Mus musculus: one gene and its partner. The protein of the gene in region 1 purifies or fractionates together with the protein of each later gene. This does not show direct contact. Links are inferred from orthologs where the notes say so. Each region holds a gene or a part of one and is shown on either strand. Other genes may lie near its edges.

Region 1 (4,018 bases):
TGGCCTATAAATGTCAGGGCTGAGTGCCAGTCCACCTCTCCATTCTTCTCTGGCTTCAAGACTCCTTCCTCATGACTCAGGCAGGCCTGTTGTCTTCTCTCCAGACCCCAACCAGCAGCAGATGTGACCTTTAATCCCATCCCAACTTCAGTTTGAGCCCAGAGGCAGTGCTGGAGAGAGGAGGGAGAACTGTGGGCTGGCTAACAGCACACATCTGGAGCCTTTCAAGCTAAGCCTCTGGTGGTTTCTGCCTTTAGTGTTCCCGGAGTTTGCTCTGTTGCATATATAGGAGCACGTAAACACACACAAACACACACGCACGCACACATGCACGCATGCATAAGCACGCACACACAAATACATACTTGCAATGTACTCAAAATAAGCCACCCACCCCTCCCCAACCTTTTTTAGTTTGGCCCCCACAAAGCTCCAGGTCAACTTCCAGCAGTCTCTACCACAGCCCTCAGCCCATAGCCTCCAGTCTCTCAGACAACAGCTAATAGTTTCAAAACCTTTTATTGAATTTGCTCAGCACTGTGCACATGTGCGAAGAAGCCAGAGTAAGGCACTATGCTCACAGCCAACAGGGAAGATCCCCCACTGGCAAACTACACCCCAACACTTCATCTGAGGAGTCTTCACTTCTTCCGGGGCTCCTTATCTGGGCAGCCCTCAAAGAATTCATTGCACATCATGGCAATGCAGGACAGGAAGACACAGTACTCCTGGAAGTCAACTTCATTGTCCCTGTTGCTGTCCAAGTTGCTCATCACCTTCTGGAATGCAGCTTCATCTGTCCTTTTCTGGCAGTAGAAGAGGAGCAATTAGAAGCCAACTCAAACCAGATATTTGCCTCCAGTCAGGAGCTCAGGAAGGTTTGCAAGCACTCCTTGCTAGCCTCGGGGCTAAACTATGGGATGAACACATGGGATAGCTGGGAAAGGATGTGACCACATCTTCCCCGTGCTTGTTTTAATTATCTTAATAGGAAACTGTCATAATAGTGATCCGTTAACTAATATAAGGTGTTATTGAGAGGATAATCTGCAGGCATTTGTGTGCCTCCACGATCATGTCTTCACAAATAAAAACTCGATTTCTAGTGCCCATCTCCGGAAAGACAGCCCTGATCTAGGCTGTGGTTTCAGACACTGACTGCCTAATGTGGTTGTTTTGGTTTTCCTCTGCCTCTTCAGTTATCTTCATCCTAAGCCTGTCTCAGCTGGGGGCTAGTGTGAAGTAGGTGGTTCATTGTGGTTCCGTACCAAGCACCCAGAGCAGGGATATATGCCAGCTATAGCTAAGTACTGCATCAAGACTAGTGCCTACCAGCCCCAGCCTCCTCCTGCAGATGCATCACGTGTGCAATACACAGGCAGGACCCACTTACCCCCAGGAAGCTAGGCAGCTCCCTGGTCAGTAGCTCCTTGAGCTCTGTCTTGTTCAGCTTGAACTTGTCACCCTCTTTGCCTGAGTATTTGTGGAAGGTGGACACAATTACATCCAGGGCCTCCTCCAAGGGTCTTGCCATGGTAACCGTTGAGACCTAAGGGCAGGAGACACAAAAGTAACATTCTCCAACCCACGCCAACAGTGTGTTGAGAACTGGATATGTGTTGCTGAGCATGACCCAAATCACACTCATTCTGTCCCCATTTTAAGTGCTCTATCCCAGCCAACTCTCTAAGAGATGGACCTCACCCCCTGGGGAGATCAGAGGAATGGGACCCATTGATGGCAAGAAGGTCACATGTGCTCTGGGCTCTGAAACCTGCAAAGCCTACCCCTCAAACTCTGGAGATCCATGCCAGCACCTTTCTGTGCCTCTCAGTCCTGGCCTCAACAACAGCAGTTTTCCATCAGCTTACTCACTCCCACAGCTCAACCACAAGCACCAGGCCCTGGCCCATTCTTCTCCCTCCCAGCGTTGGGCGCGGCTGCTGGCTGCCTGCCCAGAGGCAGACAAAAAAAAGTGGAAAAACCCCAGCTGCCTAATAGGAGTAAGATGAAGTGGCAGAGGTAGGGATGCAAGAGGAGAGGGTGGGGAAGCCAGGCTTTCTTGGCCTAGGTGCTATATGTTCATAGGGCTATTAAAAATAAGACACACTACAAACACGAATGCCTGCAGGAGGGTGCTGGAGAGATAGCTCAGTGGGTAGAGGTGCTTGCCACCAAGCTCCAGGGCCTGAGTTTGATCCCCACAGCCCACATGCTAGAAGGAACAGATTGACTCCCACACAAATTGTCCTTTGGCTCCCACAATGTCGCCTTGGCATTTGCTCCAGCCCAACCCATACGCTCATACACACAAATAAAAACTGTAATTTAAATACTGTAAAACAAAAAGGCCTACTGATGCCTTCGCTTTGCTTCCTGTACCCGAGTGTCCACACACTGTCTTGTATTACCCAGCAACACGAGTCAGCATCCTATGCATGACAGTGACTCCCAAGCACCACCAATATACACTATAGCAACATGCAAGCCAGCCTCAGTATCTCAAAACCTCCGGGAGCTCAGATGTAGCCATTTATACACTTTTTTTTTTTTTTTTTTTTTTTTTGGTTTTCATTCTCGTGAAAAACACACACACACACACACATACATGAACCTCCACATCAGAATCTCTCATCTGGATTTATTAAAGACATCTGTTCCCCCAGCAGCCCCCCTTTCTTCTACCCTAGCCTCAGCCTCTAATGCCGCTAGCAGTGCTATCAGACCAACACAACTCACCAGACCAAGAGAGAGGAAGTGCTGAATAGAGAGGTTTGGGGAGAGCCCAACAATCTGACCTATTTATACCCTGCCAGGCCCTGCCCATGCAGAGGATGGGGGAACATGGATACTGTGCTCTTGCTGTTGGTTGATGTAGTAAATGTCATAGCACCCTCGACCAGCCCAGTCTGGGAACCAGGCTTCCTGCTCCCTCCCCAGCAGGCACAATCAAGTAGTGAGTGAGCTCCAGTGGGCACGGCAGAGACTTGGATGGGGTGGACACCACCAAGCAGCCACAGCTCAGCCAGAAGTTTAGGAAGCTTTGAGAACGGGCAACCTGGACATGAGGTGTGGGCCACAGGAAAGGAGATGGAGATGTTATGGGCAAGGGATAAGGAGCTGCCCTGGAAATATGTGGCCCAGGAACGAAGGAGGTGACCCCAGCCAGTGGGACAATGTCAGCACTTCCCTCCAGCCTAAACAGCTTCTTGTCACAATCAGGAAGACCCAGGATAGAGGCTAGCAAGTCAGGAGGGACCTTGGGACCACCCCAGGTATGAAGTAGGAGCTATACCTAGGAGGCCATGATGGAGTTAGGGTGGCAGTGTGGCCTGGAGGTTTTCGAATGGATGGAAGCTGGAGTAAGGATATTGAGGAATGACAGGAGCATTCGGGGTTGAATGTTCAGCTTGAAGAAGAGAGTTAAAGAGGAAATAGGTAAAAGGGGGAGTCAGGATTAATCTCTAAGGATAGGGTACAAATTCGGGGATTGAGTGAAGGTTAGATGGAGGTTTGGCTTTGGGCTCCCACAACCATACTCTCCTTGCAGCATCTGGTCAGAAGTACCTCCCAAGGAGCCCCTTGTCCTCCTTGAAAGTCCAAGATAAGGACTTCTATCTCAAGACAGGGGACAGAGAGAGACAGAGACCCTCCAGTCTCATCTGATAGGACACGTGTTACCCCTACCCTCCTGAAATGTGTGCATTTCTACAGGGCCTGACACCGCTTTGGGGGTCCATGCCTTCCATGGTAAGCCTCCTACCTCCAGTAGTAAGGAGCATAAAGGAACAAGGACTCGGTCCCAAGGCCCAGTGTGTCCCATCAGAAAAAAACAAAAGTAAGCCAAGAAGACATTTCTTTATTGGGAGTTGAGGAGGCCCCTGCCACAGCGGTCCCAGTTGTGTGCACATGGCTGAGCAGAGATGTTCTTCCCTTCCAAGAAGAGAAGCGGCAAAGGCTGGCTACTGTCCCACCCCTCACAAGCTAGACATCCCTAGGAAAGCCTCGAAAGCTCATG
Region 2 (3,500 bases), on another chromosome or scaffold:
TCCCAGGAGATCTACTGCAGCCAGGGCAACAGATCAGCATCTTCTCTGCCTCTGTGAAGAGCCCCCAGTTGGAAGGCCCCACAGGTGGTCTGCTACAGCCAAGGCTGCTGGCCTACCAGGAGACCTAAAGCAACCCAGTTAACTTACATAACTATGTAAGTTATGTTTTCCACATTCAAAAAAAAACTATCCCAAGAGCTGACTCCCAAACTGAAAATACTGCTTGGCAGAAAGAAATTCAAGCGCACTATGAACTCATTTCAGCAGAATTATGGTTTCTCTCTAGCAGAGAATCACTGAGGAGATAATGTGCCCCTGCTAAGTACAGGAAGGAACACTCCAAGTGAAGTTTCTATTTTCTTTTTCTTACACAGCTTTGCTGCTTGAAAAAATTTTCAAAGTGACATGGCTAAGTTTTTAAAAAATATTAATTTACATTGTGTGTGCATGACAAAAACTTTTTTTTAATAGCACAAGGGAGTTCTTTATTGTACTTAAGGAGACATATGGCAAGTGGGAACATCTGTTATCTGAAGGCCAAAGGGAACTTCTTGATGAAACCCATGTCCAGGGCTCCACCTGTGTGGGAGTCTGTGTTCCCAGCTGATTACTCTTTAAAAGGCTCTGCATTCAACACCTTGTTCTGTAAGTTTGCCAACCCCGCCCTCTTATGCTCAGGAGGTCAGTATGGTTAGCTCCAAACCCACCTAGGTTTTAATAAAGCACAAGGAAAGTTCTTGGACTCCTAGTGAGTGAAACATAGCTTTTTTCCCCAACTAGTATGACAAGGCTTTTATTAATTCGGTCGAACAATGTATGGTCTTGATAAGCTCAGGAATTCTGATACAATGTGTCTTTATGCACTTTCAAAGGCTCTATCAAATTGCTAATGTCTATTGATCAGTTGTTACTAGACAGATATCAACTCAGTCCTCACAATCACCTTTAAGGATAGGTGCTAGGTCCCTCTGTGGTGAGAGGAAAGTGAATCAGAGCATGAAGGCATAGCTCAAGGTCACCTGCCTGGTGGACACGAGTTTGGAGAGCAAGAAGTCTGACTCCAGAGCATAGTTTTTACCTTCTCCCCTTCCACTTCTCAGTGCTGGAGTTGGTACCAGGACCCCATGTTTGCCACACTAGGTCTCTGCTATTATGCCACAAGCCCAGCCCCTAGAACCATCTCCTGACCACTCGGCTGCCCCACCTTTACAAGACTATGCCTTCTGAGACTTCCCACATAATTGTACCTACATCAACATTCAGCCCCAGAACCATCCTGACACCTTACATGTTCACACTGCTCTCACCCACACAGCTGTCACCAACTACTGACAAGCAGAGTCACTTTCCCAGACAGAGCAGTAAGTCGGACTTCAGCCAATAGTGACATCACAGGTATACTTACCTGTTGGACTGTCCTAAATCTCGAGACCAACCAAGCCTGGGTCCTGCAGTTGCCCTTGTCCCTCCTCTTTTGAATTCAGGCTCAGACATGTCATCTGGGTTGAATGTAGTTGACTGACTTCTTCTAAGTCTAAGGACACAACGCACATGGTCATACGTTAGACCTGAGGAGGCTTCTGACTTGGTGGTTAATCATAAGGTTTTTGTTTGTTTGTTTTTGTATGTCATTAGTCCAGATATTTGAATTTAAATATTAACCAAGGCCCAATGAGTATATGCATCCCATTATCAGTCTTTCTTTCAAAAAGCCTTGGGATTTGGTACCCACGCCCAGGCAAACTTCCCATTGTCCTCTGCACCTGAACAGCACACAAGTCAGGTCCTCCACCTGCCCTTCCTTCCACTTACTTCCCAAAGAGTCTCATGATGCCTCTGGATTTCTTTCTGGAATCTGGAGATGGTGGAGACATTGGGAATGGACTGGTTCCCTGGGAACCTTTTGACCGAGATGTACCAGCCAAATTCAGGTGCTCAGCTGTCTCTTTTTCTGTCTCAGCTGTCCCAAGGATAGAATAAGACCACGTGAGTACAAATAATATATAAACCTTCTTGCTTTTAGCAACTTAAGAATTCTCCTTTCGGGTAAGAGCACTGACTGCTCTTCCAAAGGTCCTGAGTTCAAATCCCAGAAACCACATGGTGGCTCACAACCACCCGTAATGAGCTCTGACACCCTCTTCTGATGTGTCTGAAGACAGCTACAGTGTACTTATGTATAATAATAAATCTTAAAAAAAAAAAAGATTTCCCCTTTGCGTCTATAAATCAGTGACTTCCAGAAAGTTCCCTGAAGTACAAAAATGTAAGTGTATGTCCCCTAAGCTTACTCTCCTGCATAAAGTAAATTAGCTTAAAATTGGCCTCTGAGGTTAAGTGTGTGACAGAGCTGTGTGTGGTGGAACACACCTGTAAATCCCCGGCCTGGAGGCCGGCACAGGAGGAGCGATTCTGAGACAAGCTTGGGCTACAAAGTGAGACTCATTTCTTCCTCTAACATCTTTCGCCATGACTTGCTCCTAGATCTGTGGCCTGGTTGTCTCTTCTTTGCTGTAGCCCCTAGTTTCTATCCTTCCCACAGTGCACCCCAAGACTCTGCTTAGGCCCTCAGCAAGCTCGCCTGCTCTAAGCTCAGCCCTGAAAGATGGCTCTACTTTCACAGGCAGATGGCATCAGAACTACTGAGCCTCACTTCACTCTCGAGTCCCACACCTGAAGTCTGCAGAGGCCCAATTTAATGGGTCAAGTGGGACATATTAAAACTACCCAGTTCCCCTGAACATATTCTCTCACATTTTATTCGAGGTCAAATTAAGATTCTATATCATTTTGTTCTTAACTCTCCTTCTCCTTTGCCATTTAGATCACACGGTTACAGAGGACTAGCAATTCTTTTCAAAGAATGAGTCACCAGGCGTGGTGGTGCACACTCATAATCCCAGCACCCAAAAGGCTCAAGGCCAGACCAGGCTGAGATCCTAACTCAAGGGGTGAGGGGGAGACCAACTCAGCCTATTATGTATTAGACACTGGAAAAAGAGTGGCCAGGTATGTGTGAGATTTTCTTTAGATATAAAGTCAGTCGTTTTGATTTGGCATGGAAAGAGCAGCATCCACACTTGCCACTGCAGACTTCCACAGATGCATCATATAAGTTCTTTCAACTGTCCATCCCTGGAGAACAGCCACAACCAAAGACAGGGCTGGTGTTTTCCAAAATGTGAAACTTTACATATTACAAAGGAAAATAACACTTGTTCAAAAAAAAAATTCAGGGGAAGAGACCCAGAAGGATTTGCAGAAGTTGCAGAAGTTGAGTTTTCTATGAAGCAGAGCTGTGATTACGGGTTATGATAAGCAGCACTGGCCTACAAGCATCAAGTACTGCCGTAGAAGGACACAGGAGTAGCTGGAAATAGTTGTCCAACTGGAAGAGTGTAATTTATCTTAATTTATTTAAGATGACAGAGCCTCAGAGAAACCCAGGGGGGTCGATCCATTCTCACTCCACAGCCACAATGGGTATAGGTGCCCTGAAA

What was found. Proteins that work in one complex are often made in the same cells at the same time.
Region 2: the proteins of S100a4 (region 1) and Ppfibp1 purify together in Homo sapiens (co-immunoprecipitation; 3 studies listed by BioGRID and IntAct, with this or other methods). This does not show direct contact. The link is inferred for Mus musculus from reciprocal best matches to the Homo sapiens genes S100A4 and PPFIBP1.

Annotation. Positions count from the first base shown.
Region 1 is NC_000069.6:90,602,528-90,606,545, reverse strand, and holds S100a4 (protein S100-A4), read right to left. Parts: upstream 2,777-4,018; 5' UTR 2,740-2,776; intron 1,916-2,739; exon of another isoform or gene 1,788-1,915; intron 1,550-1,787; 5' UTR 1,535-1,549; coding exon 1,394-1,534; intron 807-1,393; coding exon 642-806; 3' UTR 501-641; downstream 1-500. UniProt on the Homo sapiens protein: Calcium-binding protein that plays a role in various cellular processes including motility, angiogenesis, cell differentiation, apoptosis, and autophagy.
Region 2 is NC_000072.6:147,017,494-147,020,993, reverse strand, and holds part of Ppfibp1 (liprin-beta-1), read right to left. Parts: intron 1,961-3,500; coding exon 1,813-1,960; intron 1,535-1,812; coding exon 1,406-1,534; intron 1-1,405. UniProt on the Homo sapiens protein: May regulate the disassembly of focal adhesions. Did not bind receptor-like tyrosine phosphatases type 2A.